Caenorhabditis elegans: one gene and its partners. The protein of the gene in region 2 binds, or shares a complex with, the protein of the main gene of each other region. Each region holds a gene or a part of one and is shown on either strand. Other genes may lie near its edges. The genes, in order: pat-2, pat-6, unc-112 and pat-4.

Region 1 (7,942 bases), on a different chromosome or scaffold from region 2:
CAATTCTTGACAATCAAAAAGAATGATCGGTAATAAATATTTAATTGTTTTAGGTTGTAATGAAACGGTAATGTTCACCATGTATTAGTTGAAAAGCTATTATGAAGATTATTAATCTTTATAGAAGGGATTATGATTTTTTTGTTGCTTAGTTAGTCAACGTTACTTTTCACAAATGACCCATCAATTTAAGATTCTTTTTTCAAAACCTACCTCCTAATTTAACTTCCCTTAAATCTTGTCGACATCTTTTTTTTCCAAAAATTCATTTTCCTCCTAACCACCCAATTAATTCATCCTCCCCCCGTTCCCTCAATTTATCACTTGTTCCTCTCTATTCAAAACATGACCTTTTTGTCGGAGAGGGAACAGTCACCAGTCAACCATATCTTGGATTCTACTGACAATTACTTCATGCCCACATCCCAATACTCTCTATTACATGAACTTTTCACCAATATATAAAATGTTGTTCGTATACTGATGGGCTTCAAGTAGGCGTGATTTTTAAAACACATACTACAAATATTGGAGAAAGTGCCGTATTTGTTCTATTAGTATTGGTGCAATACGTTTTTGACCACAATATTTATGTACTTGAATTAACTAGATTTCACTGTGAAAACTGAAACTTTAAAAACTTTAAAATCTGTGGCAACTTATTGTCGAATTTTGGCAGGAAGTTTCCCTGATATTCCAAGTAGGTTCAAAAATTGAATTCAATTATCAAATTTTGGTCTGGTCAGATTGAACGTCTACTATTATAATAATTTTGCAAGTTTTTCAAAATATTAGAAAATCTCTTTGGTGTTTCAAAAATAGTAACTGCATATCTACTTGATTCCAAACTAATTGCTTCTCGTGTCCCCAAATAAGTGGTGCCTCTTCCTCCGCCCCCTTCCATCCTCCCAATTTCATCCTCAATTCATGCTTCCATCAATGTCTACGTCTCTTCGTCTCTCACACTCTCTCACCATTAGACATATGTTTGATAACTATCCGGAAACTGAAGAAACTATGTGTCCCTTCCTCCCTTCTCTATTTCAAACGACTCTTGACTCATCGTATTTTTCGGAAATTCATGGGATAACTATGAGTCTCCAGATGCCAGTTTTGTTTCGGAATTTCCTTTTTGTACGTTTTTCACAAACTTCGAATTTCTGATTTTTAACTCGTAGTCCAGCCAATATTCTGAATATTTTGAGGGTTCTCCGGTAATTTTAAAGATTTTCGAATGAGTACAACTCAAAAGCTAGAGGTTCCAGCAAACAACTTTCAACAGTCAAAACATTTTGAAATAGTTCAATTGAGCATTTGAGAAAATATTGTTGTTGGCTCTCGCTCAATACACAACAAATATTGAGATTTATGCAAAATTCGAATTGCTCCTTACTTTGCTTCTTCATCAATCTTGCTCCACGTGTCACGGGTCATTTTGTTCCCCCGTTAATTTCCGTTCGCTCACTTCTCCTGTTCGTTCAATTCATTTCTTGATATGTTCATGACTCAATGTGAGTGTGTCAAATGCTCGTAGAGCTCCCTTCTCAATTATAAATGACTTGTCGTCTTCGGAGGGTCAGTTCTTTGTTTCGCAATCGCGTGTGCTCTGTTCAATTCCATTTTTCCTTCCTTCCGGTTTTTGGAAAAGACACCGATTAGGCTTCATTGATCCACATGTTAACTGAGAATTTGAAATTATCTCAGTGAAATTGGTCGCTACTTTGAATTTAATTCATTTAGACATGAAAAACGTTCCAAAATTAAAATTCAAGCAAAGTTCTTTATTTTCCCTTTCAAAAATATTTCTTGGAACTTTTGAATTTGAGATTTTGAAATTTTTTTTCTATTCAATCAACTTCTAAAATCGTTTCATCTTCCGTATACTCGTTGCAAACTTCTTTCTGATTGTTTTCAAAAAACCGAATTCCAAATTTCCAGTAGATGCGAGAGGGTAGTTTTCCGCGAAGGATCGGCTTGCTTCTAGGCTTACTGGGCCTTTTAGCCGGAGTTGCCACCTTCAACATCGACACAAAAAATGTAGTGGTTCATCACATGGCTGGTAACTACTTTGGATACTCACTCGATTTTTACCATGAGCAGAAGGGAATGCCTGTGTAAGTTATTGAATTAACTGAACAGATTTTACATTCAAAAATTTCAGCCTCGTTGTCGGTGCCCCTGAAGCTGAAAGCAATAACCCAAACCTGGCTGGAATCCGAAGACCTGGAGCAGTTTATGCTTGCTCCGTGAACCGGGCAACATGCCGAGAAGTCCACGTGGATAAAATGAAGGGAAACTTGAAGAAACTCAATGGATCACATCTTGTTCCAATTGAAGAAAAATCACATCAATTCTTTGGTGCAACTGTTCGATCAAATGATAAGCATGATAAAATTGTGGTAGGTTTATTCTGCGGAGTTTGAAAATTAAAAATTAAATTTCCAGGTGTGTGCTCCAAAATACACATATTTCTACTCAAAATTCGAAGTTATTGAGCCAGTTGGAACCTGTTTCTATGCTGAAAATGGATTTGATAATGCGGAGGAGTTTTCATCGTGCAAACAAGAACGTATGTTTTGGGGATACTTAATTGGTACTGCAGGGGTACTGTAGTTTTGGAAAAAGGAGTTCGAGAAAAGAAAGTTCTGGGAAGTTCTAGAAACTTCTGAAAATTTTGAGGAATTGCAGGAATATTTTAATAGTTTGAAAAGTTTCTGCAACCCTCAAGACACTGTTAAAAACGTCTTAAAATTTTGAGATTTTTTTGGAAAATTCTAGAAACTTCTAGAGGCTCCTGAAAAAAATCTGAAAATTGTTGAACCTTTTGGAATAGTTCAGAGTTCGAACAATTGGTAACTTTATAAAAAATTAGATGAAAAATTACAGCTGCTCGCCACGGTCGTCATCGTCTTGGATACGGTCAGTGCGGATTCTCGGCTGCAGTTCCAGGAAAGAAGAATCAAAATCGTGTTTTTATTGGAGCCCCCGGTGTGTGGTATTGGCAAGGAGCAATGTTCTCACAGAACATCAAAAATCAGACAGACCGCCCGAATACCGAGTACGGTAGCAAGGAATACGATCACGATATGATGGGATATTCTACAGCAACTGGAGATTTTGATGGAGATGGTATTGATGATATTGTTGCCGGAGTTCCACGTGGAAACGATTTGCACGGAAAATTGGTGTTATACACGTCGAAACTGAAGATGATGATCAATTTGACTGATGAGGTGTCAACTCAACATGGACAATATTGTGGAGGATCTGTTGCAGTTGCTGATGTAAATAAAGATGGGTAAGTGAGATTCACAAACACATAAAATTACAATTCTCTAAATATTCTCTGTATTAATTTCAGACGCGACGACATTATCATGGGCTGCCCATTCTACACAGATTACGGTAGCGTGAAAGACGCAAAAACACAAGAAAGAAAACCACAATACGATGTCGGAAAGGTCATTGTGATGCTTCAAACTGCTCCAGGAGTCTTTGGAAAACAGATTGCAGTTGTTGGAGATGATCAGTGGGGACGATTTGGACACGCAGTCGCAGCAGCTGGAGACTTGAATTTGGATGGTTATAATGGTAGGGATTTTGCTACTAAAAATGAACGAATTTGAATTTCTCACAGAAATTATTTTACGCGGAAATTCAAATTTAGTTTTCGTATTTTCACTTTTCTTTTTCTTAATTTAACAATTTCTTTAGACATAAAAAATCCTAGATTATCGGAAATTTGTGCGGCATTTTGAACTTTCAATCTCATTTGAACCGCTATGGAAATTTATTGCATTTTTTGTTGGAAATTTTAAATTACAAAATAGTGTTTTTCAGATGTAATTGTTGGTGCACCATATGCTGGAAAAAACAAACAAGGAGCTGTTTATGTGATCCACGGATCCAAAGATGGTGTTCGCGAACTACCAACTCAGAAGATCGAAGGAGCCAATATTGGTCATGGAAATATCAAATCATTTGGCTTCTCCCTTACTGGAAACGAAGATGTTGATGGAAATGGAATGCCAGACATTGCAGTTGGAGCATGGAAATCTGGAAATGCAGCTGTTTTACTCACAAAACCAGTTGTCACTGTCACGGGACAAACTGAACCAGAGAGTGCATTGATCAGTGTAGAAGATAAGAATTGCGATGTTGATGGAAAATTGGGAAAACAGGCATGCAAACATATTAATACATGTTTCAAATATGAAGGAAAAGGAGATACACCAAATGATTTGGAATTTGATCTTCGATTCAATCTTGATGATCATTCTCCTGAACCAAGAGCTTATTTCTTGCAAAAAGATGTGGTAGGTCACTTTTTTAAAACTAGATAAAAATTTTTAACACAATAATAATATTTCAGAAATCTGACAGAAGCATTAAAGTTGCACAAGGATCTAAAACAAGAGACCATCCATCTTCAATCGAACAACGTGTTCGTCTTGAGAAGGGACGACAAAAGTGTTTCAGACATCGATTCTTTGCTTCTTCCACAATGAAGTGAGTTTTCAGAGAAAATATTTTGATTTTCTTTCAAAGTTTTTCAACTCAAAATGACCACAACTTTTTAAATTTTTTTATCAGAAAAAATTGAGAAAATGTTTGCTCTGCTGTGAAAAAAAGTTCAAGGCTAATTTTTGAATGTAAAATAGTTCGTATGCTTTGCAAACCTTCAAATTAGAAAATAAAATGTTTTCTAAAAATCAAAAATAAAATAATTTCAGAGACAAGCTCTCCCCAATTCATTGGTCCGTCAACTACACATATGTTGAATCAAAAACCGGAAAACTTCGTGGTGATAAGCTTGAACCAGCAATTGACACAACTGTACCACTTTCATTCCAAAATAAGATTAATATTGCAAATAATTGTGGAAAAGATGATCTTTGTGTTCCTGATTTGAAGGTTACCGCTGTTGCGTAAGTTTTTTTAATTTTCAAAATGATCGATAAAAAGTGTTGAAAAAATACATTAAATATGCCATTTTTTCATTGAATATAAAAGAAAGGGAAACATTGAAAATCCTCATTACAGTAAGTTTGAAAAATTATTGAAAAAATGGGTTTGTCTCGAAATGTTTTAATCATTACTCTAATTTTAAAATTTTCAAAAAAATATAAGGAAATGAGCGAGAAAAATTGAATATAACACAAAATACAATGTAACCTAACTCGACAATTTTCAAAACATTTTTTATAATGAGACAAGTTCACAGCCATTTTTAAAATGTTTGCTTCAGGATTTTCCTGTCAAAATAATTCCACGAAGATTGTATGTTTCTTTTCTTCACGGAATCGGCGAAATTTTCAGTGAAATCATATCATTAAAATAATTATTCCTAAACCTATAAACCAAATGCCAGCAATTAAATTCTTTTAAACATATTTTTTCAGTGATCGTGAGAAATTCCTTTTGGGAACTCAAGACAATACAATGCTTATCAATGTAACAGTTCAAAATGGAGGAGAAGATTCATATGAGACAAAACTTTATTTCGATGTTCCACAAGGATTCGAATACGGTGGAATTGAAAGTGTTGGTGGAGATGGAAGCAAGTCTGCTCCAGCTTGTTCTCCAACTTCCGATGAACCAGATTCGGATGGAAAATGGACTTTTGCATGTGATCTCGGCAATCCACTTCCAGCTAACAAAGTAGTTAGTAGTGTTGTAAGAGTGACTGCTTCTTCTGATAAACCTCCACTTGCTCCAATCAGTATTAATGCTCATGTGAACAGTAGTAATGATGAAGAAGCTCATACTGTTGCTGATAATAAAGTCACATTCACTATTCCAGTTGATTTTAAGAATCAATTGAGTTTGAATGGTAGATCAAATCCCGAACAAGTCGATTTCTCAATGACGAACAAAACACGTGTAGATGCTTTCGATGACAATGAAATTGGTCCAGTTGTTTCACATCTTTATCAAATCAGTAATCGTGGTCCATCTGAGGTTGACTCAGCTACTTTGGATATCTTCTGGCCATCATTTTCCACTGAAGGAGGTCATCTTCTGTACATTATCACAGAACCAGTTGTTAATCCACCAAATAAAGGAAGATGTCGGGTCAAACAACTGCAAAATGTTAATCCATTGAATTTGAGGGTACGTTTGAATAATTTTTAAATTTCTAGACATTACTTTAAAGGTACACGCTGTTTTTCTGAGTGGGTCTTGCCACGATCTCATAGTCGTTGCAAATCCCCAATTTCTGTAGACACTGAATTTTATAACTCTGTACATTTAAAATTGCAGTGAAATACGGAAGGAACTATTTTGTTTTAGAAATAGAAGTAAGAAACTTTATCATTTTTAGGATAAAATTCAAATTTCTTGGGAAATTTTGAAGAATTGTTTTCGTCAGTTTCTGAAATGTTTAGAATCGGCGAGTTAAAAAAAAATATTGGAAACAATCGAATATGCTGAAATATCACAAAAAAAATTGATTTTCCGGTTCGGGCTGACAAACTTCACTTTTTTCAATTCAGAATCCTGAACATCTTATTTTATAAATGTTCACAAAAAATTACTGTCGCACATTAAAAACGAATTAAAATTTCAGATAACAAATGAGCATGTTCCAACTGAACCACCAGTTGCCAAGACACCAAATGAATATTCAAGAGAAGAAGATGATGAATCATATGAAGATGAAACAACAACTCAATCCCAATCAACACGTCATCAATCTACACAACATCAAACTCATCATCAATCTGGTCCAGTACATGTATACGAAAAAGACGAGGAGAAGATTCGTCAGAATACTGGAAATTGGCAATATGTTGAGGATAAAAAGAAGAAGGGAGATTATGAATATATTCCAGACGATCAGGAATATGATGGAGATGATTTTGAAGAGGAAGATGATGAAGATTTTGATAGAGCTGGAAGTAAGAGAGTTAAAAGAAATCCAACACCAAAGAAGAAGAAGAAGGGAGGAGAACACCGTGGTGAACCAAGAAGTGATAAGGCTAGATTCTCTGATCTTCGTGAAGCTGTTAAACTTTCGAAGGAAGCTGGAGGAGTTGTTGATTATAAGGGACCACTATCAAGAGCATCTGTTGATTGTAATTCATTGAGATGTACACATATTGAATGTGATATTTATGATCTTAAAGAAGACGAGTTTGTACTTGTGGAAATCTTCTCTAGATTATACACAAACACATTGGTTGATGAGAAAAATCCTGGAGGAGACATTTCATCGTTGGCTCTTGCTCGTGTCACATCTACTAAATACAATCTTCCACATAAGCCAACATTGATAACAGCAGTATCTACAAATATGAATGCAATTGCTTCTGAAGAAGGAAGAGATCTTCCTTGGTGGCTTTATCTTTTGGCTATTCTTATTGGACTTGCCATTTTGATTCTTCTTATTTTACTGCTCTGGAGGGTGAGTTTCAAATTTAATTTTCAAAAATACGATTTATTACATAACAACATAGATATTGGCTTGCAAGTTAAATTAAAGTTCTTTCGCCAACTTTCATGCTTACTTGTGACGCAGCAAAAATTATATCTTAATTTCCAATTTTGTGAAGCGGTTTCTCAAAGCCTCATTGATTTATTCGGATGGGCCTCGCCGCGAGAAAAGTTTATGGTTCAAACTCTGCCATTTTCGAAAGGTAAAAAATGATTGTCACAAAGATTAAGAAAAACTGAATTTAAAAGAAGTTGCCTACGACATTAAAGCTGTGCTCACACGCTTTCGAAAATTTCACAGCAACGTCCACGGCGAGCTTACGTCGGGGGTACTGTAGAATATAGGTAGATCAGAGCGACTACAGTATACAACCAATTTCGAAACAAATTTACAGTTTCCCTCAGAAAATAAATAATAATAATCTAATTTTCAGTGTGGTTTCTTCAAACGTAATCGTCCACCAACTGAGCATGCAGAACTCCGTGCCGACCGTCAACCAAATGC
Region 2 (4,793 bases):
GATCAATGGGCACGATTGAAAACATGGCAAAGTTTTATTGAAAAATGAAAAACAGGCAAATATTTGGCTGAAATCGCTCAGTTTTCAGAAAATATCCACACTTTGACTGAAAATGGTGTAGGAATTGATGTAATAACAAGAGACAACAATCGATGTGGTTCCGTTTTTACAAATCGAATTGTTGATAACAAAGAAAATAAGGGAGCGTTTTGAAAATGAAGGAACTGGTTTTTCGATTGTACGAGATACAATAGTTCTTGACACAGACACCTACAATTTGTTGATAACGAAGGATAGACGCATCGGGTTGATGATTAAACAAATTTGAAGGAAGTACACGAAATTTCAAAAATTTAAAGGTGGAGTAGCGTCAATGGGGATTTTGTCTAAATACGCTTATTATGATTTCAAACGACCGAATATCATAATAAAACTACAAAAATTTTTAGATTTTCCCTAATTTCGGTCAAAGTTTTGGCACATTACCAAAATTTTGACAAATATGAGCTTTTGAGGACATCCAAAGCAATGTCGCATATTCCGGTCTTTACAATGATTCAACAAAAATAATTGAAACAAAATTACAGTATAAAAAATGTAGGAAAAATAATTTTTTTTGGTCGACTTCCAAAATTATGAGTGGCAAAAACTGAATATTGAACACTTTTTGACAGTGAATAAAAATTTTTCAAAAAAGTTTTGAAAAGTTTTATTATGATTATTTGTCACTTTGGCACCATAGGAGTATTTTTTAACACTTACTCCATTGGCCCTACTCCACCTTTAATAATTTTCAGATTTCCTAATTTTCTAGATTGCATGCTAATTTTTACAATTACTAGTTCAATGTTTCTTAATCTGATTTCGGTTTAATGCAACTATTATCATACGCCAGGAAATCGAATGTACCGTACGTATAATCAATGTAACTGATGTGATTTTTCATAATTTTTTCCTAAAATTGTTTTTCAAAATTTTTTCAAAAATTGCTATGGAAAAAACTATTTTCAAAAGACCGACCTGTGGACCGACTGTACCGTATTTCCTCTATTAGTCTTGCACTCCTACAGACTAATTGAAAATCAGTCTTACAGCCTGTAATAGTCTAGCACCCCACTTTTTGTCATATTAGCAGAACTTTGTGGAAACGTAAGCAAATTTATCATTTTTGGAGTAAATCAAATGTAAAATCGTTCAAATAATTGATGTAATATTGGGAAAGTATGTATTTTTCATTGTTTGAACGGTCAAAATTGTATCACTTTCCAAAGTTCGAAAAATAGTTTTCAGTCTCTATTAGTCTTGCACCCCTAAAGACCAATTGAAAATTAGTCTCGCATGCAAGACTAATAGCGAAAATACGGTAAATGCAGAGTTGTTGTCTTTCTTAATTTATTTTTATTTTTATTTATTTGAATATTAGTTGTTATATGGACGTCCTTTTCTTTCTCAATACATATGCATATACAAATATTAACTTTCCGTTCTTCTTTCCTATTCCCATACATTTATATGTATCCCAAAGCCTTCTCTCTCCCCCACACACACCATTTATCTGCACCATCCTCTTTTCACCCAATCTCTCATTTGTCGTAAACTCTCCTTCCAACTCTACGTCTCTTATTGTTCCCAACACTCTCTCACTTTTTCAACACTGACGACGGCTGTTTTACACTATCTGCTGGCCTGGATGGGGACTTTTGTGTTGCTCTACGGAAAGAATCCTCCCACACAATATTTTTACTGCTATTTGAACATTGAATTATCGATTTTTCAAATTTAAATTTAAGTGCTTAAAGAGGAAATGTTCCAAAACAGAGTTTCATAATGAGACTTCAAAATTTTTTTAACTTATCAATATCTAATTGTACTTTATTTTTTATTATGAATCAACAAATATTTACCCCTTAATAATTTTAAACTTTTCAGCAATAACCATGTCAACACTTGGTCGTAGTAAGACCCCATCTCGTGACGAACCAAAAAAGCCTGGAGTCTTTGAGAAACTCTCTGGTACCCTTTCTCGAAAGAAGAAGGCGCCGGAAGATGAGCATGGAAACCAAGGGGGTGCACATCATGCTACTGATGAAGATGAAGTTTTGGAGGTTAGTTTTGCAAATTAATGGTTTTAGCAAATATAGATTTTTCAGCTTGAACTTGAAGGTCGTGAGGCTCTCGATCAGTCATTGGTCCCAGTTCTTGCAAGAAACATCTGGTTGGAAGAAGGTAAACGGTTTCACCAATATATTTATCCAATATATTTTTTTCCAGGAGAAATTCGTCGTTATCTGACTAAGGAAACAGCCCGCGATCAGAAGTTGGCACAAGTTGTCGATTTGCTGATCTACTGGCTTAATGAAGAGCTAGCTGATCAAAGAATTGTCGTTCGTCACTTGCAAGAAGATCTTTTCGATGGTCAAATCATCCAGAAGCTGTTGGAAAAGTTGGAGCAGATTCGAGTAAGTTATTGGTACAATTTCACAAATTGAATAAATTCTCCACTCACAGTTTTGTTACAGATCGAGGTTCCAGAAGTTTCGCAGTCAGAAGAAGGACAACGTCAAAAACTGCAAATTGTAGTTCAAACAGCCAATCGAATTCTCGGACAGCCAAGAGAACAAGAGAAATGGTCTGCGGATCTTATTCATCAAAAGGTACGCAAATCTTTGTCTGAATTGTTCATTTCTATCAGTCTTACATTTCATTGTGCAGATGTTTGACGCACTGTAGACAAAAGAGTTTCTCACTCGAAGCTGTTCCAAAAACTACCGTATATTCTATATTAGTATGATATGTTAATCTGTGGACACCTCCGCCACACAATACTATTCATCATTTACTATATATAAAGCGCTTATTCTGTGTGTCCATAGTTTGTAGTCTATGTAGTCTTTGTAGTCTGTGAAGTTTTGGCTTCTTGGGATAGTGAGTTGGGGTTAGTGTAGGGATATAGTCGAAGTACTGTATTGGCACAATAGTGGTACGGTAGGAATACTGTAGTTTCAGAAAAAATCAGTTTTCACCCCCAGGTCCACGGCTGGTAATCTATATAGAAATTCGTGAACTGCAATACTAATTTTCGAGGTGGTTTTTGGATGCAAAACTTATTGAGAATATACGATAGTTGAACGCAACAGTACTTTTCGAATAAACAGAGTTACTTTCCATATTTTATATTTTCTCATAAAAGAATATTCCCAGGACTTCACTGCCATCATCCAGCTCCTGGTGCTTCTTGCTCTTCACTACCGTGCTCCAGTTCGATTCCCAGATAACGTGGTTGCTAACGTTGTGGTGGCTCAAAAGGAACATGGTCAAGTGAAGACCCATCGAATTACTGAGCAAATCACTACAGTTCAAACTGAGTTGGCACCGAAGGGCACTCGTGACGCATTTGATACGCTTTTCGATTATGGACCCGATAAGTTGGCTCATGTGAAGACATCTTTGTTGGCTTTTTGTAATAAGCATTTGAATAAAATTAATCTGGAAGTAAGTTTATTCACTTCATTGTGCTACAAAGAAGCTGATATTTGTAAATTTTTAGGTGTCTGATTTGGATAATCAATTCCAGGACGGAGTTTTCTTAGTTCTCCTAGTGGGACTTCTTGAAGGTTATTTCGTCCCGCTTTACCATTTTAATCTCCAAGTTCAAAGCCACGAGGAGAAAGTAAAAAATGTGCAATTTGCGTTCAAACTTATGGAAGACACTGGCCTTGAGAAGCCTAGATCTCGTGTTCAGGATATTGCCAATGGAGATGTTAAGGTTTGTAGTTTTGACAATTTACAGAAAAATATACCATTTTCCTAATTTAATTCAATTTACAATCCTCAATTTTAAATAGTGCAAAATTTTAAGGGATTGAAATCAAAGTGTAATCGCGCTTCAGCCGGAAATGAAAATGTCCCGCCTCCTTTAATTGGGTCTCGTTAGGTATCGCCATTTGGTTGAAGCGCGATTACATTCGCAGTTGTCGAATTTTCTTTTCACGACGATTCAGCAATCCCGAAGAATTTTAAACAAGTGGCAAAAACAAATTTTCTGCTCATATCTGATGCGATGGATTTTCTATATACAATCCTAATTCATTCTTTATTGCAGAGCACTCTCCGTCTTCTCCATTTGCTTTTCACTAAGTACAAACATATCTAATCTGAGAACTTCATTCGTCATCCTAATCAAACGACACCGTCCAATAATTTGTGTCTGGCTCAACAACTATGGTGCTTTAATTTTGTTAAAATTGCATTTATGTCAATAAATCTTTTAATTTTTAGACTTAGCACTATATTAAATTAAAGAAATTGGCAAATTCCGAAAAAAAAACTCTATTTGAACTCCCTCGTAAAGGAGATTTGCAATGGGGCGCGTTTGCATTAATAAAATTTAATGCATTTTCTCATCGATTCTTTTATTCTTGTTTCTTTATTTTAATTAATATGAATTGATTGTATATAAAATTGTATTTATTTTACAGAAAATGCCTCTTCCACCAGCTCTTCTCGCTCGACTTCAAAAAAGGGGAATTGTAAAGCAAGAAGAAGAGGTTATCGCTGAAAACTATGAAAAAGAGCCAGAAAAGAAAAGTTTCGAAGAGAATTCGGCAGGAGCACCTGGTTGTCCAAATAAATGGAATCAATATCACGTTTGCCTCGAATTTTGCTATGATCATTGGGGCGATGGAACTCCGGAATATCGGTTTGTTTTGAATTTTAGCGAAAAATTAATTAAAAATCGTTTTTTTTTGCAGGTTGCCCGAGAGATATGTGCAGAACAAAAACAGAATGCTTGC
Region 3 (6,914 bases), on a different chromosome or scaffold from region 2:
CAAAAGCCTCTGCGTACTTCGCAATCTACCGTAGTCATCAATTAATTTTTTTGTCAGTCGCGCGCGACAACATGTCGTGCCGTGCCGAGAAATACTGCATAGGATATAAAAACAAAGAAACGTTAAGTGATAGCTGAAAATATCAGTTTGATTTAAATGGCTACAAGGTTATTCCTTGACACAAAAAATATCCCGTAGGGAAAACTACAGTAATTCTTTAACATCTTTAAATTTCGATTTAAATTTCGGAAACATTGATTTATCGATTGAATATTGAAATTAAGCCGAAAATTAAAAACTAATACGAGGAAACGAAGAAAAATGAATATCGATGTCACTATTCGAAAAGAAAATCATTTCAAAAATCCGTAAATCGACTAAAGCGCTACAGTAGTCATTTTAAGTATTAATATAGTTCTCGCTACGAGATATTTTGCGCACTATGCATTCTCAGAGTTTTGTGTTCCCGTATACACAGTGCTCAAATTCTTCGTCCAAAAAATTTCTGAGCTTATTTCAAGTTTGATCCAACTCTTGTTAATGTCTTATATAACTTTAAAACGATTCAAAAAACGATTAGGTCAAAAAGTTTGATTTTTAACGCCGCCAAAAAAATTTGCATACGCTTTATAAGCAACTTTTGTACCAAGTTTATATTTCTTTTGAGCCAGACTTGGACAAGAAGTTAGCATTTTGTGTCAGCGCATATTGAAATTTCACTACCATTTCTAATATACTGTAAAGGATAGTTACTTTTGTGGAAAATCTGAACTTTTATCAATTGCACCATAAAAGACGAGGTTACCAAGTGTTCACAGTATGAACTTCACACGTGGTGTTAGAGTGTCCCATTGATCTACGTAGTTCACATTGTTCACAAATGTTCACATTATCCAGATATTCTAATTCAGAAACTAGTATACACCTTTCTCCATTTCATTGCACTTCTCCATTCATACCCAACTACCCGTGATATCCTATACTTTTACTCTCTCTCTCTCATGTCCAATGTCCCTTCAGAAGCTGCTTCCTGGCATCTTCCTCCTCCTTCTTCTGCCAAATCTTTCTGCCAGCCGGGGGACGGGACTCTTTGTGTAATGTTGTCTTCTTCTTTTCCTTCATCTACAGCAGCATCGCCTACTGTCATTCCTTCCCATTCCCGCGTAGCCGCCTGCCGAGTGTCCTTCAACTCTCCGTCTCTTCTACAACTGTTCACTCTCTCTCGCTCTCTCATTGCATTTTGGAACATACAGATAGGGAGTCAGAGAGATAGAGAGTGAGAAAAGAAGCGGAGAGACGGTGTTGCTGTGAGTCAGAGACGAAGAGTGTGTACTGCTCCGGCCGTCCGTTTGTTCGTCCGCATCGGCAGTCTTTTCTCTCATTCTCTCATTCTTCAATGTTCTCTAGCCTCTTTTTTCGTTTATTTTATTCTGTATACACGTTCCTCTCTACCTGATATTCTCCCACACATAGCTTTTTTATTGATTTGTTGATTGTTGTTAAGCGGTTTTTTTTGTTTTCTATTCTATCTACCGTGGACGGAGAAAATACACTGTTTCTATAATTTGCTAATCTTTCCAACAACTAAAATATCTCAGTGGTTCTACCTAAATCACTTCAAACATGGCACATCTTGTTGAAGGAACCTCGATTATTGATGGAAAATGGCAATTGCCAATTTTGGTCACCGATTTGAATATTCAAAGGTGAGGATTTAAAATTATATATTTAGAAAATATTAACTTTCAATAGTACTGCATGTTTAGCAGTTGTTCTTAAATAACTGCAATTGCAGGAAGTTATAGAAAAAGATTCAATGCACATTTTCTGAATTCAAGTCATTTTGTCAGAATAAGTGATAATTGAGTTATTCTCGGATTGAGGTTAAGCCTAAACCAATCCTAGGCCCAAGCCTAAGTCTAAGTCTACGACTAACTATAAGAATAAGCCTAAGTCTACGCCGAAGCCTAGCCTAAGTTTAAGCTTAAGCTTAAGTTTAAGCCTTACCCTAAACCCTAGCCTAAATTTTCAGAAGATTCCGGTTAAATTTTTTTCCAAACATGAATGAGACATTTTCAAACTCAGAGTCTTCCAATTTCCAATAAATGTATTTATTTCTTCCAGAAGCATCTCTGTCCTTGGAAATCTTAATGTGGGAGGACTCATGCTCGAACTTGTTAGCGAATGCGGTGAGTTTTTTTTTCGAATCTTATCACCTCGGTCAAGATCTCAAAGATCTCAATAGACCATGATTTCTCTCTTTTCTACTCAATATAATCTGTTAGATATATCTGCCACTGTGTGCGCCTACGCGTTTGTTACAACGAAAAGATACGTGGTGTGTGCACCATTACGAAATGATGTTCAATATCAGTAAAAATTGAAGGCATGGGAAAATGTTGAAATCTGCTGGAAAAAAATGTTCTGGAAAGATAGGGAACACTTTTGGAAACACATCGTAACGGAGCCCTTGAAGAGTGCGCCAAGTGAAAAATTTCTCGTACAATTCTTTCAAGTTTGCTGAAAATTCGTATTTTGAATAAAACAGTTTAATTAAAAAGTTAATTTTTGAGAGATCTTCACGAAATTTTTTAGGGACTGTGAGCTCCGAAATAGTTGACAAGAAGTCCTCTATACATTTTGAAACATCATAGAAACTATGCGGAACCTATCAAATATTTATGGGCTCTTCTCATCTCCTACCAGTTGCTCTTCTCTTTCTTCTTTTTCTTTTCATCCTAACCCCTGTTAATGTTGACTATTCGAGTGCACGCGTGCGCATCTACATAAGCTGATTGTTTCGGATGGGACATTCGCTGTTGGGTACATAAAGTTTAGAGGCTTTCCTTGCAGAGATATAAGAGCACACAATGATAGGGGGTCCCAGGAGAGAGTATCAAAACTTGAGAAGCAACTGGCATTCATCATGACCAAGAGCAGAAAGGGCGCATAGGAGAGGCGCATAAAAACGTTTTGGAATTAAGTTTTCGCGCGATTTTTAGAACTTGCAGAAGCTGAAGGGATGAAGATTTTCTGCATTAGGGTATAACAATTTGTGTGCTCAATGTGTTTAATTTCCAAGTTCAAAATGTAATCATTTGGGCTTCAGCTGAACAAACAATTTACAAAACAGCTGTATTGAAACAAGAATCTAAAAAACTCCAAATATTTCTATTTTTCCAGATGTTGAACGAGATTGGTCTGATCATGCTCTGTGGTGGCCGGAGAAGCGGCGATGGCTTCAACATACTCGATCGACTCTTGACCAGAATGGAATTACAGCTGAAACACAATTGGAGTTCACACCAATGCATAAAGAAGCAAGAATTCAGTTACCAGATATGCAAATGATTGATGCGAGAGTTGATTTCTCGGTAAATTCATTCAAAGCAACAAAGAAATTGTGCCGTGATTTGGGTATTCGATATTCAGAGGAATTGTCTTTGAAGAGGTAAGTAGGAATTGGGAAGTTTTTGATGTTTTATTTTTAATTTAAATAAGAATGGAGTTGTGAAATTCCTTAGTTGGTTGAACGAGGATTGAAGATCCTTGGGAATCTTAAGCAACTAGGGAAAATCTATGCCTGATCGAAATCCTGCCCCAAAAGTTTGAGCAAGGTCAAAAGTTAACTACTACCGAGCATGTGAAATAACCCAATAATTCAAAATCATATAATTTAAAATATTACAGATATATTCCACCAGAGGATCTTCGACGTGGAACATCTGACGCCGACAACATGAACGGTCCACTCTCAATGCGTCCAGGAGAAGAATCAGTTGGACCAATGACTCTCCGTAAAGCTGCTCCAATCTTTGCTTCTCAATCGAATCTTGATATGCGCCGTCGTGGTCAATCACCCGCGCTCTCCCAATCTGGACACATTTTCAATGCTCACGAAATGGGAACTCTTCCTCGCCACGGAACATTGCCACGTGGTGTCAGTCCATCGCCAGGAGCATATAACGATACGATGAGAAGAACACCAATTATGCCAAGCATCAGTTTTAGTGAAGGACTTGAAAATGAGCAATTTGATGATGCTCTTATTCATTCACCAAGACTTGCTCCAAGCCGTGATACTCCAGTATTTAGACCTCAGAACTATGTGGAAAAAGCTGCGATTAATAGAGGATGGCTTGATTCTAGCAGATCACTTATGGAACAAGGAATTTTTGAAGGAGATATTATTTTACTACGATTCAAATTTATGAATTTCTTTGATTTGAATCCAAAATATGATCCAGTGAGAATTAATCAACTTTACGAGCAAGCAAAATGGAGCATTTTACTTGATGAATTCGATCACACAGAGGAAGAAGCCACACTATTTGCTGCTCTTCAACTTCAAGCAACCCTGCAAAGAGATTCTCCTGAACCTGAAGAAAATAATAAAGATGATGTGGATATTCTTTTGGACGAGCTTGAGCAAAACCTTGACGCAGCTGCTCTTAACAGACGATCAGATCTTACACAAGTTCCCGAGTTAGCAGATTATTTGAAATATATGAAACCAAAGAAATTGGCAGCATTCAAAGGATTTAAACGGGCATTCTTCTCGTTCCGTGACTTATATTTATCATATCATCAAAGCTCCTCAGATGTCAACTCAGCTCCACTTGGACACTTCTCATTGAAGGGATGTGAAGTTAGTCAGGATGTTTCAGTTGGACAGCAGAAGTATCATATCAAATTGTTACTTCCAACTGCTGAAGGAATGATTGACTTCATTTTGAAATGCGATTCCGAGCATCAATATGCCAGGTGGATGGCTGCGTGTCGGTTAGCATCCAGAGGGAAGTCAATGGCTGATTCGTCATATCAACAGGAGGTGGAGAGCATCAAAAACTTGCTCAAGATGCAAAGTGGTAAGTTGTTGATTTTACAATTTAATAAGTGATAATGAAATTATTTTCTTCGAATGAAACAATTTTTCAGGTAATGGAAACGAAAACGGAAACAGCAACACAGCTTCGCGAAAAGCCGCCGCTGTAAAACTACCAAATGATTTCAATGTTGATGAGTACATATCGTCGAAATACGTACGACGAGCACGCAGCAAGCAACAAATTCAACAGCGAGTATCAGATGCTCATGGAAATGTTCGACAACTCACGGCAACCGAAGCGAAACTTCAATATATCCGAGCATGGCAAGCACTTCCCGAACACGGAATTCATTATTTCATTGTAAGATTCCGAAATGCTAGAAAGGCGGAATTGGTGGCTGTTGCTGTGAATAGACTTGCAAAATTGAATATGGATAATGGAGAAAGTCTGAAGACATGGAGGTTTGCAAATATGAAGAAGTGGCATGTCAACTGGGAAATTCGACATCTCAAGGTTAGTTTTTGATGAATAAAATATTTAAGATCTGGACATGATCGGAAATCGAAAAATTGCAAAATGTTGAGAACGTTTTCGAGACCTATTCATCTAAGTTTCTTGTAACAACTTTCTGATTGTTAATCTATTTTGTGATGTCTTGAAATTACGTTTTCATCTCAAAATCTTTCCTAATATGTATATCTAAACACAAAGAACAATTGGCTTTCAAAAAATCTTTGTATTGTTTCAAAAATTATAATATTGCGTTTTTGATTCAATTGTTGTTTTCTATCCATAAGTCTATTCGCCGTAACTTACTAAAAAATTCAGGTCTTTGGTAATTTAAAATCTAAATCAGATAATGTTCTCAAAGACCGAAACTTTTTCGGTAAACTTGGTGCTGACAGGAAGGTAGGCAGACTTCATGCCTATTTGCCTACATGCCAGCGTTGCACCTTGAGCGTTTTAGAAATAAATTTTTAAAATCTGTTTTGTGCCTACATAAAAGGCTTAGATAAACCCGAAAATAACCGAGAACAAACTTTTTGAAATTAATTACTTTTTTTCTTTGAGTATACTATTTTATCATCCTATCTCCCCAATTTCCAGATTCAATTCGAAGATGAGGATATCGAATTCAAGCCACTTTCCGCTGATTGCAAAGTCGTTCACGAGTTCATCGGTGGATACATTTTCCTGTCAATGCGAAGCAAAGAACATTCTCAAAATCTTGATGAAGAACTTTTCCACAAACTTACAGGAGGATGGGCTTAGATATTTAAATTTCTATAATCTTTTGCAAACCAAAGAATTTTAATTTTAGGCTCCAATTCCATCTTTTTCGTTTCAAAATTTCAATATATATATTTGTTTTCTTTCATTTTTCTTGTTTCTCATTTCCCCCCTTCCCCTCTTCCAAATAATTTTTCGTTTTAATAAGACAAGTATACCGGATCGAAAAAAAGTTTTATGTGCCTTTTCATATCTATGGATTAATAATAATTGTATGAGAAAAATTGAAAAATATTATAAAAATTGAATAATAAAAACTGATGAATAAACATTTAAAATCTTCTTCCGCGTTCCTCGAGCTTTTCGAATTTTTGTTGATTGCTGATTTCTAGTCTTCCAACGTTTCGTTCAACTTCAATCAGCAACTGATCTCGCTCTTTTTCCAGTTTTTCAAATTCTCCCATCACAATATCATTGAGTTCCTTGTATTTTTCAACTTCTTTCCTCATATTCTCAACGTTTCGCATATCTCGCTGGAATAATAATCAGGAAATTATAGTCATTTTCCATCTTTTCTGGTAGTAGGCAAACGTAGGTACAAGGCAGGCAGGCACTGTTCTGCTATCTAGCTACCTACCTAACTACCTAGGAATCCTTAATCTGTTCTATTCAACCATATAAAATCAATAGTACAAAACATATCGGCAATATAAATTTGATAGAAAAAAAGCAAATAAGTTTGTATCCCGTTATTTAAAAATTTGTTTTCAAACGGATTGAAATCATGTGAAAACATGTTCAAGAAGTATCAAGAAATTTGAAACAAAATTTTCAAGCAACAGCAAAAAATATCTG
Region 4 (7,664 bases), on a different chromosome or scaffold from region 2:
GTAGAAGATCTACGTAGATCAAACCGAAATGGGACACTCCGACTCCCCCCGCTGGAATTGTCAGAAAATCAATAATTTTCTACGCAACCCTCCCGGTCCCCAAAATCCTTGGCATCATCATCATCAATGCTCAGTTTCCATCCGAGAATCGTGTTACAACATCCGTCCCTGCTTCTCTGCGTCTCCTATCTCTCTCCATATCTCTTTATCTCTAACTCACACGACTCCCACGGGAACCAAATCTCTGCGTCTCTCACTGCATTTCACACTCTCTCTCCCCCGTCTCTTCTCTTTCTCTCAAATGTTCTTGAATACCTTCTTCCGATGAGCTTCTCGCCCCCTCAAAACCAACTCAATTTTATGATATACTTTCTAGTGATATGATATTCCGTTATTTTTCTGCCACGTGGCAAAATTTTGGGATGTTAGGCCACGTTAGGCCCTTTCTTGGCTGTTTTGGGAAAAGCGTCTGAAAATGGTTTTTTGTCTGAAAAACGTCATTGAATTTTAGTGCTGCAATTGTGAAGTGGTAACTTTGTTAAGCTTCACAATTTTTCGTTATGCTCCGGGTTCAGGTATTTTGTAAACCCAGTCTTTGAGAAGAAAATTGCTAAAAAAACTTGGGTCCCGCCACGAAAACGCTAGGAATTTCAAGAGTTTTTACAGGAATTGATACATAACTTTTCAGTGCTGTAGAGGAAAAATTTACAGATCTTTTGGGCACAAAAATGTGCGATGGGGGCTTTGAAATAACGTGAAAATTTTTTTTGAATTACTTTTTTAATCAAAAAAGTCCTTTGGAATATTGGGGTTTTTTAAAGCTTTTTTAGCAAATTTATACTATTCTGAAAACCCTTAAACTGCTTAATTTAATGAAACTAGGTATAACTTTGTCGAACTATTTTCAGCCAAGTTACAGTAATTCTTCTGAAACTCGCTGCGGAGCTTCAGAGCAAAAATTACGATTTCCTCAAAATTTTTAAGAGAAAGTTACCATAAATTAATATTTTTCTGATGGCTCGGAAATTTTCCTATTCAAATTTTGAATTTTCAAGACCAGAAGCTCGTTTTCAGCCAAATTTTAGAGCTTTTTCAGGAGTTAGCTGTGAAAGGTAAAATTGGAAAATGTCCTAGAAGCGAATTTGCCGGTTTTTTGATAAAAATTTTCAGGCAAAATCCAGGCAAATTTGTACTTTTCTGAAAGCCCGAATTCTCATCTTTTCAAATTCTTAGCATTCAAGACCAGAAGCTCATTTCAAGCGAAGTTTCAGAGCTTTTTCTGAGCCAACCTCTAGACGACGGAATGGTCAACGAAAAGATATCCCACAATCGCTTGCCGTTTGTTCTCTGCGCGGGATACTACTCCCTCTCCACAATACATACATTTACAACAAATTTCGTCTTGTTCTCTGCGTCTCCTACATAGTCCTCTACTATCTCGCCTGGCCAGCGGGGGAACAATGTTGACCCCCCCCCCCCCATGCCGTCGCCTCAGCAAAATTCTACTGCTTTCTGTTGTACTTATTGCATTGTTTATTTGTCTATGTCTCTTATATCTAACTTTTTTGGCTTGAAATTATAGATTCCGGGCTTCATGGGGCCCGGGAAAAAGTTGGAAAAATTGAGAAAATTTGGAAATTTTTGGAGATTTTTATTGATTTTTTAATAGTTTTTTTCTTCAATTTTCACCGATTTTTTTTGTTGTAATTTTACATGTTCCTGCTCAATTTTTCTTGATTTTTTCAAATTTTACACTATTTCACACGTAAAACCTTATATTTCCAGTCAACAATGTCTTTGTCGACTCATTACCATGCGCACAAGCCAAATGTGCCCATTATAATGGAGGATGTGTTTGGATGGGTCCGCGAGGGTAACGCTTTTCAGGTGAGTTTTGTAAATATTTTTATGGGGTTAGGCTCGATGAGAGCTTTTGAAAAAGTATAATTTTGTATAGGTTTTTGAAAAAAAAAATTTGGAAAAAAATTGAAAATGTTTGGAAATTATTTTTTTTAATTCTAGAAAAATTCAAATTTTTTCGCTGAAAAGTGGGCGGAGCGTATATGAATTTATACTTTTTTGAAAGTTAATGTTTTTCCTCAATTAAAAAAATTTAAATTTAAATCCGAAATTCTGAGATTTTCTAAAAAAAAAATTCATTAAAAATTTTTTTTTTTTAAATTTAAATTCCTATTTAAAATGGCGGAGCTTATACAAATTTATACTTTTCTAAAAGTTAAAATTAAGCTGAATTTGAAAAAAATTGTTGCCAATTTGAAAAATCAAGTTTAAAGCTAGATTTTAAGCTTAAATCTGGAATTTCCGGTAATTTTTGTCCGATTTTTCTTTTCATGCTAACTTGATCAACTTTCACCGAAATTGTCCAATTTTTTTGCAGAGGATTTATCACAATCCTTACTATAGACTAAGACTACTATCAAAATTTCAGGTCCGCGTCTGGTTGGACGATCACGAGCACGATCTCAACGTCGGAGACGATCACGCCTTCTCACTGCTCCACTGGGCCGCGAAGGGCGGCCACGTGGCGATTGCAGAGATGCTCCTGTCACGTGGAGCACGTGTAAACTCTACGAATATGGGAGATGACACGTCATTGCATTTGGCGGCCGCCCATGGACACCGACAAATTGTGGTGAAGCTTTTGTCGAGAAAAGCCGATGTTAACGCTACCAACGAGCACGGAATGACTCCACTGCATTATGCTTGCTTTTGGGGATATGAACAAATTGCTGAGGTGATTTTATTGATAAATTCGAATAGAGCTTGTTTAGAGCTTCAAAATAAGTATAAACTCGATTGGGAAAATTTTTTGGGAAAATTGGAAAAAAATGATTTTTCAAAAAATTCAGAAAATTTTTTTTCCAAATTTTCGAATAAGTTCTTCTCGGAAAGTTTTAATTTCGCAATGAAAATGTATAGTTTAGGTGAAATTATTTTTATAATCAAATATAACTAGATTTGAGCTTTAATAAATGTATAAATTCATAAAGGATGCGCCCACTTTTGACCAAAAATTTTGAGCTTTTTTTTGCCGGAAAAAATTTCTGAAAAAAAAATCATTTTTTCAACACTTTATAACTTTGGAAGTTTTTTGGCTATTTTTTTTTATGTTTTCATACTTGCGTCCTAAATATTTTAAAATTTCAATTTATTATACCAAAAACACAAAAAGTCCCTATTTACAGTAGCCCCTGGGAGTTTTCGTGGCGGGACCCAAAAATTTATCGAAAATTTGTAGAATTTTCAAAACCCGGGCATGATTATACTTTTTTGAAAGCTCTTAACAAGCTGAATTTGAATTTGTTAATAATTACCTTGATTTCTTGCAAAATAACAACTTCAGGACCTAATCTCCTGCGGCGCCGCTGTCAACGTGTGCAACAAGAAGGGAATGACCCCACTGGACGTTTGCCAGCCAATGTGCAAAAACACTATTTTGGGTAAGTTTTTTGTGCATTTTAATCTGAAAATTGAATTTTTTTAGTCGGAAAACATATAGATAAGATTTTTAGAAGAAAAAATGCATTTTTTGAAAAAAAAAACATTTTTCAACATTTTTACAACTTTTCAAAAACTCATAACTTTTTAGTTTTCAAGCGATTCGATTTAATTTAACGTTAAAATAAGTCTAAAAGATCAAGCTTTTTGGTAAATTAACTTAAAAAATTGAAAAACATAAACTACAGTAACCCTATAAGTTTTCGTGGTGAGACCCAAAAATTCTGAAGTCTTCTGGGCAATGCTCATTTTGTGTGGAGCCTGGGCATGATTATACTTTTCAGAAAGCTCTTGGTGAGCAAAATTTAATTTTGATACTTAAAAATAATGTGTACAAAAATTTAATGTTTTTTTCAGCAAAGACTTTTGACTCGCAAAAAGTTTTTTTTTTGGGATGACTTTTTTCTAATAAATTTTTAAATTATCGATTTTTTCTAGAAATTGCTCAAGAACATGGACAATCTCCAAATGACCGTGTACCATTCAAGGATACCACATGGAAGGGTACAAAGTCCCGTACTCGGGACGCCACACTGTCCCGCTACACCGGAGTCGACGTCTCCTCGCTGAATTTGATCACTAAAGTGGGTTATAGATTTTTTCAGTGGAAAATAACTTAAAAATTCAAATTCAGCGTAAAAAATTAGTTTCAATCGTTGAAGGATGGGAATTTTCCGCGAATTTCGAAGTTTCTGAAAAAATTCGAAAAAAAAAATTTTTTAAGGAAAATTTTCAAACATTGAAAAAATCATAACTTTGACTGTTTTTGAGATTTTCAGCCGGTTTTAACCTCAAAATATGCACAAAAACTTGTTCTACGTCAATAAAATATTAAAATACTGTATTGACACAAAACAGCTTAACACTATGGATTTTCGCGGTGGGACTCAAAAACTCGTCGAAAATTGGAACCCGCTACGTAAACTTCCAGAATTCACTTACCGTAGTGTATATTATTATTTAATATAAATAATACTGTTTTTCAATATTTTATACGTGTTTTATGTCAAAAATCTGCAAAAAATCTTAAAAATTGGCAAAGTTATTAAGATTTGAAATGTTTGAAAAAAAAACTTCATTTTCGAAATAAAAATTTTTTTTGACCTGAGTAAATGTATACTTTTCTGAAAGTCTAGATCAAGATGAACTTGATAAGCTACCTCAAACTTTAAAAATCCCAAAAATTTCCAGCTTAACCCCCACTCTGTTACAGATCGCTGAATCACACTCCGGAGAACTGTGGCGTGGAAAATGGCAGGGCAACGATATTGTGGCGCGAATTTTGAATGTTCAAGAAGTGACCGCCCGTATCTCACGTGACTTCCAGACCGAGTTTCCGGCTCTTCGTATTTTTGCTCATCCGAATATTTGTGCGGTGCTCGCCGCGGCTAACCAGCCACCGAACTTGGTGATCATCTCGCAGTACATGCCATTTGGAAGCCTGTATAACGTGCTCCACGAGCAAAGTTGTGAGTTTTGAAGGTTTTCATTGAAAAGGGCGCAAAAATTAGTCCTAGAAAATGTTTTGAAAATTTTTTTTTTTGATTTCGAAAAAGTAGAAAAAAATTTTTTTTTGATAAATTTTTTTTTTTCAAAATTTGTACTTTTCCCAATTTTTGAGATTTTTTGTTAAAATACTGCGCACAGATAACTCAAAAAATTGTCTTTTTAGTAAAATTATCAATATCATATTAGATAACTTATCTACAGTAACCCAACAGTTTTCGTGGCGAGACCCAAAAATTCTCGAATTCATGCTAAAATGGCCGGAGCCTAGGCATGATTATACTTTTCTGAAAGCTCTTAACGAGATCTATTAGATTTTGACATTAATTTGTGAAAAATCGCTGAAATAATTTAATAAAATCAATAAAATATTGCAGCTGTCGTCATTGATCACGGGCAAGCCGTCAGATTCGCGTTGGACATTGCTAGAGGAATGAGCTACTTGCACAGTTTGGACCCTATGCTTTTGAGGTTAGTGTGGTTGAATGGAGCTTAAAAAGAGCTCCCAGAAAAGTATAAATTTTTATAGGCTCCGCCCATTTTTCTGGCGGGAAAATTTGAATTTTATGTTTTTAAAAAAATTTGGATTTTTTTTTCCAAATTTCAAAAGTTCATAACTTTTTTAGTTTTTGATACTTTCAAACGGTTTTTGGCTTAAAATGTGCCTGAAATAATGTTCTTCGAAAAGTAGCTACAACAAAAATTTTCAAAAATTGTTTTCAGGAATCCAAGAGTTTTTGGGGCACTACTCGAAAAAAAACTTAAAAAAAATTTTTTTTTTTTTTTTTTTTAATTTTTTAATTTTCCCCCCATTTTTTTACGTTTCTTAACTAATTTTAGAGTTTCAGATAATTTAAGCTATCATAAGCCTAAAGCCCAGTTTCCAGGTTCTACCTCTCCTCCAAACACGTTGTAGTCGACGAGGAGCTCACCGCCAAACTCTCAATGGCAGATACGAAATTCTCGTTCCAAGAGGTCGGAAAAGCCTATTCGCCTGCCTGGATGAGCCCAGAAGCCTTGTCACGGGCTCCAGAAGACTTGAATATTAGAGCTGCCGATATGTGGTCATTTGCTATATTGTTGTGGGAGCTGAACACTCGTGAGGTCCCATTCTCTGATCTACCGCCAATGGAATGCGGAATGAAGGTAAGGGAGGGTTTTTGGAGGGCTGAAAGTGTGAAAAATGATGTTAAAATCCTAAAATTAATCTATCAGTTAATTTCGGATGAAATTTTGGAAAAAAATTTTTTTTTGGCCCAAAAAAAATTGTTTTTCTATTATTTTTTTCAAAAGTGTTCATTCTTAAATTCAAACTCAGAAGCTCAAAACAGGCCGTGACAACATTTTTTAGCTCGTTTGGGCTCAATGTCGTAAGATTCGGTGTTTGCGTACTTCCGAGACTACAGTACCCCGAAAGCCCTGAAAATGGAATAGAAACGTCTAGTAACGACTGACCACGCTCAAAATTTTGCGAGAAATTCGAATTGAACCACAGTTTGTTGACATTTTGAGATAAAATCAAAATTTTTTTCTGAAATTTTGTCAAAAAATTCGAATTTCTTCGTATAATTTTGATCAAATATAATTTTTATCAAAAAATTTGAATTTCCCGTCACTTTCTACCTCAATAAACTCAAAAAACTCATTTTCCACCGCTTTTCTGCAAGTCGTCGTCAGATTCAGTGTTTGCGTACTTTTAGGGTTACAGTACCCCTTACACCTCCAAAATCAGCGTTTCCAGACCCAAATTTCACGCTGAATCCAAATTTATTAATTTCAGATCGCTCTGGAAGGTCTCCGAGTGCACATTCCCCCTGGAATCGCCCGTAATATGAACCGTTTGATGAACATTTGCATGAACGAGGACCCGGGACGTCGGCCAAACTTTGATCAAATCATTCCGATTTTAGAGAGAATGATATTATGATTTATCGATTTTGCTTTTCTAATGTTTTCAACAATTTTTTTAAAATTCAATTTATCAAAGCTTTACATCAAAAGTGCCTGCTCCTTGTCCAGCCCCATCGCATTTTCCGTCTATATATTAATTTTAAATGTTAAACTGTCAAAAAAAATTGCTCAATTTATGAAAAAATCAATAAAATCTTATGAAATGTAAGGATTACTGTACGCAAACACTCTTCGACAAAAAAGTTCGCTGCAGTAAGTTTCATGTATCCAAATAATCAGTTGCCAAAAATTTGCACGTGTAGCCTAGTGGCTAGTGACCTCGCCCGCCAATCACAGGGCCTGGGTTCGATCCCCGCAGTGGCAAATTTATTTTTTCCAGCTCGGTTTCACTGAAATTTTTAGTTTTTTCCATAAAAATCGATAATTCCTTTATTAATGCGTCATCCTATGTCACTGTCTACAACAAAAATACCCATAAAACACATAAAAATCAACAATTTTCGGCTCTAAGATGCCCAATTTCTCGTAGTATCAATGTAGTCGCCGTCCGGAGCCTCGTAGTTTCGAATGGGCGGAGTCAGTGAGGGTCCCTGTAAGAAATTTTAAAGGATTTTTCGGAATTTTTTAATTTTTAGAAAAAAAAATTTGGAAAATTCCAGGTTTTTTAAAAAAATTTTTTAACCAATTTTCGGAATTTTTCGCAAAATGTCAGTGAGTTTTCAGATTTT

Evidence for each region.
Region 1: pat-6 (region 2) and pat-2 share a complex: the UniProt entries of both Caenorhabditis elegans proteins name them as parts of the integrin containing attachment complex.
Region 3: pat-6 (region 2) and unc-112 share a complex: the UniProt entries of both Caenorhabditis elegans proteins name them as parts of the integrin containing attachment complex.
Region 4: pat-6 (region 2) and pat-4 share a complex: the UniProt entries of both Caenorhabditis elegans proteins name them as parts of the integrin containing attachment complex.

What each region holds. Positions count from the first base shown.
Region 1 is NC_003281.10:8,816,961-8,824,902, forward strand, and holds the start of pat-2 (Integrin alpha pat-2), read left to right. Parts: upstream 1-1,938; 5' UTR 1,939-1,941; coding exon 1,942-2,114; intron 2,115-2,161; coding exon 2,162-2,399; intron 2,400-2,445; coding exon 2,446-2,569; intron 2,570-2,886; coding exon 2,887-3,298; intron 3,299-3,361; coding exon 3,362-3,591; intron 3,592-3,840; coding exon 3,841-4,316; intron 4,317-4,372; coding exon 4,373-4,509; intron 4,510-4,601; exon of another isoform or gene 4,602-4,693; intron 4,694-4,733; coding exon 4,734-4,928; intron 4,929-5,402; coding exon 5,403-6,114; intron 6,115-6,571; coding exon 6,572-7,408; intron 7,409-7,871; coding exon 7,872-7,942. UniProt on the Caenorhabditis elegans protein: Required for muscle development probably through the regulation of the actin-myosin cytoskeleton. Component of an integrin containing attachment complex, which is required for muscle maintenance.
Region 2 is NC_003282.8:261,369-266,161, reverse strand, and holds pat-6 (Paralyzed arrest at two-fold protein 6), read left to right. Parts: upstream 1-1,929; 5' UTR 1,930-1,937; coding exon 1,938-2,105; intron 2,106-2,150; coding exon 2,151-2,226; intron 2,227-2,271; coding exon 2,272-2,459; intron 2,460-2,519; coding exon 2,520-2,654; intron 2,655-3,201; coding exon 3,202-3,492; intron 3,493-3,547; coding exon 3,548-3,766; intron 3,767-4,102; coding exon 4,103-4,153; 3' UTR 4,154-4,276; downstream 4,277-4,793. Other genes in the region: pqbp-1.1 (WW domain-containing protein), read left to right, coding at 4,482-4,699, 4,752-4,793. UniProt on the Caenorhabditis elegans protein: Involved in the regulation of cell adhesion and cytoskeleton organization. Component of an integrin containing attachment complex, which is required for muscle development and maintenance.
Region 3 is NC_003283.11:14,691,339-14,698,252, reverse strand, and holds unc-112 (Protein unc-112), read left to right. Parts: upstream 1-1,598; 5' UTR 1,599-1,623; coding exon 1,624-1,706; intron 1,707-2,124; coding exon 2,125-2,189; intron 2,190-3,183; coding exon 3,184-3,451; intron 3,452-3,690; coding exon 3,691-4,868; intron 4,869-4,938; coding exon 4,939-5,342; intron 5,343-5,936; coding exon 5,937-6,101; 3' UTR 6,102-6,391; downstream 6,392-6,914. Other genes in the region: gasr-8 (uncharacterized protein), read right to left, coding at 6,392-6,592. UniProt on the Caenorhabditis elegans protein: Component of an integrin containing attachment complex, which is required for muscle development and maintenance. Probable regulator of cell-extracellular matrix adhesion. Required during initial muscle assembly to form dense bodies and M-lines.
Region 4 is NC_003281.10:88,931-96,594, reverse strand, and holds pat-4 (Integrin-linked protein kinase homolog pat-4), read left to right. Parts: upstream 1-1,785; 5' UTR 1,786-1,791; coding exon 1,792-1,887; intron 1,888-2,449; coding exon 2,450-2,755; intron 2,756-3,364; coding exon 3,365-3,461; intron 3,462-3,957; coding exon 3,958-4,103; intron 4,104-4,732; coding exon 4,733-4,988; intron 4,989-5,402; coding exon 5,403-5,496; intron 5,497-5,912; coding exon 5,913-6,171; intron 6,172-6,805; coding exon 6,806-6,952; 3' UTR 6,953-7,142; downstream 7,143-7,664. Other genes in the region: mrpl-40 (Large ribosomal subunit protein mL40), read right to left, coding at 7,443-7,526. UniProt on the Caenorhabditis elegans protein: Probable pseudokinase that acts as an adapter protein. Component of an integrin containing attachment complex, which is required for muscle development and maintenance.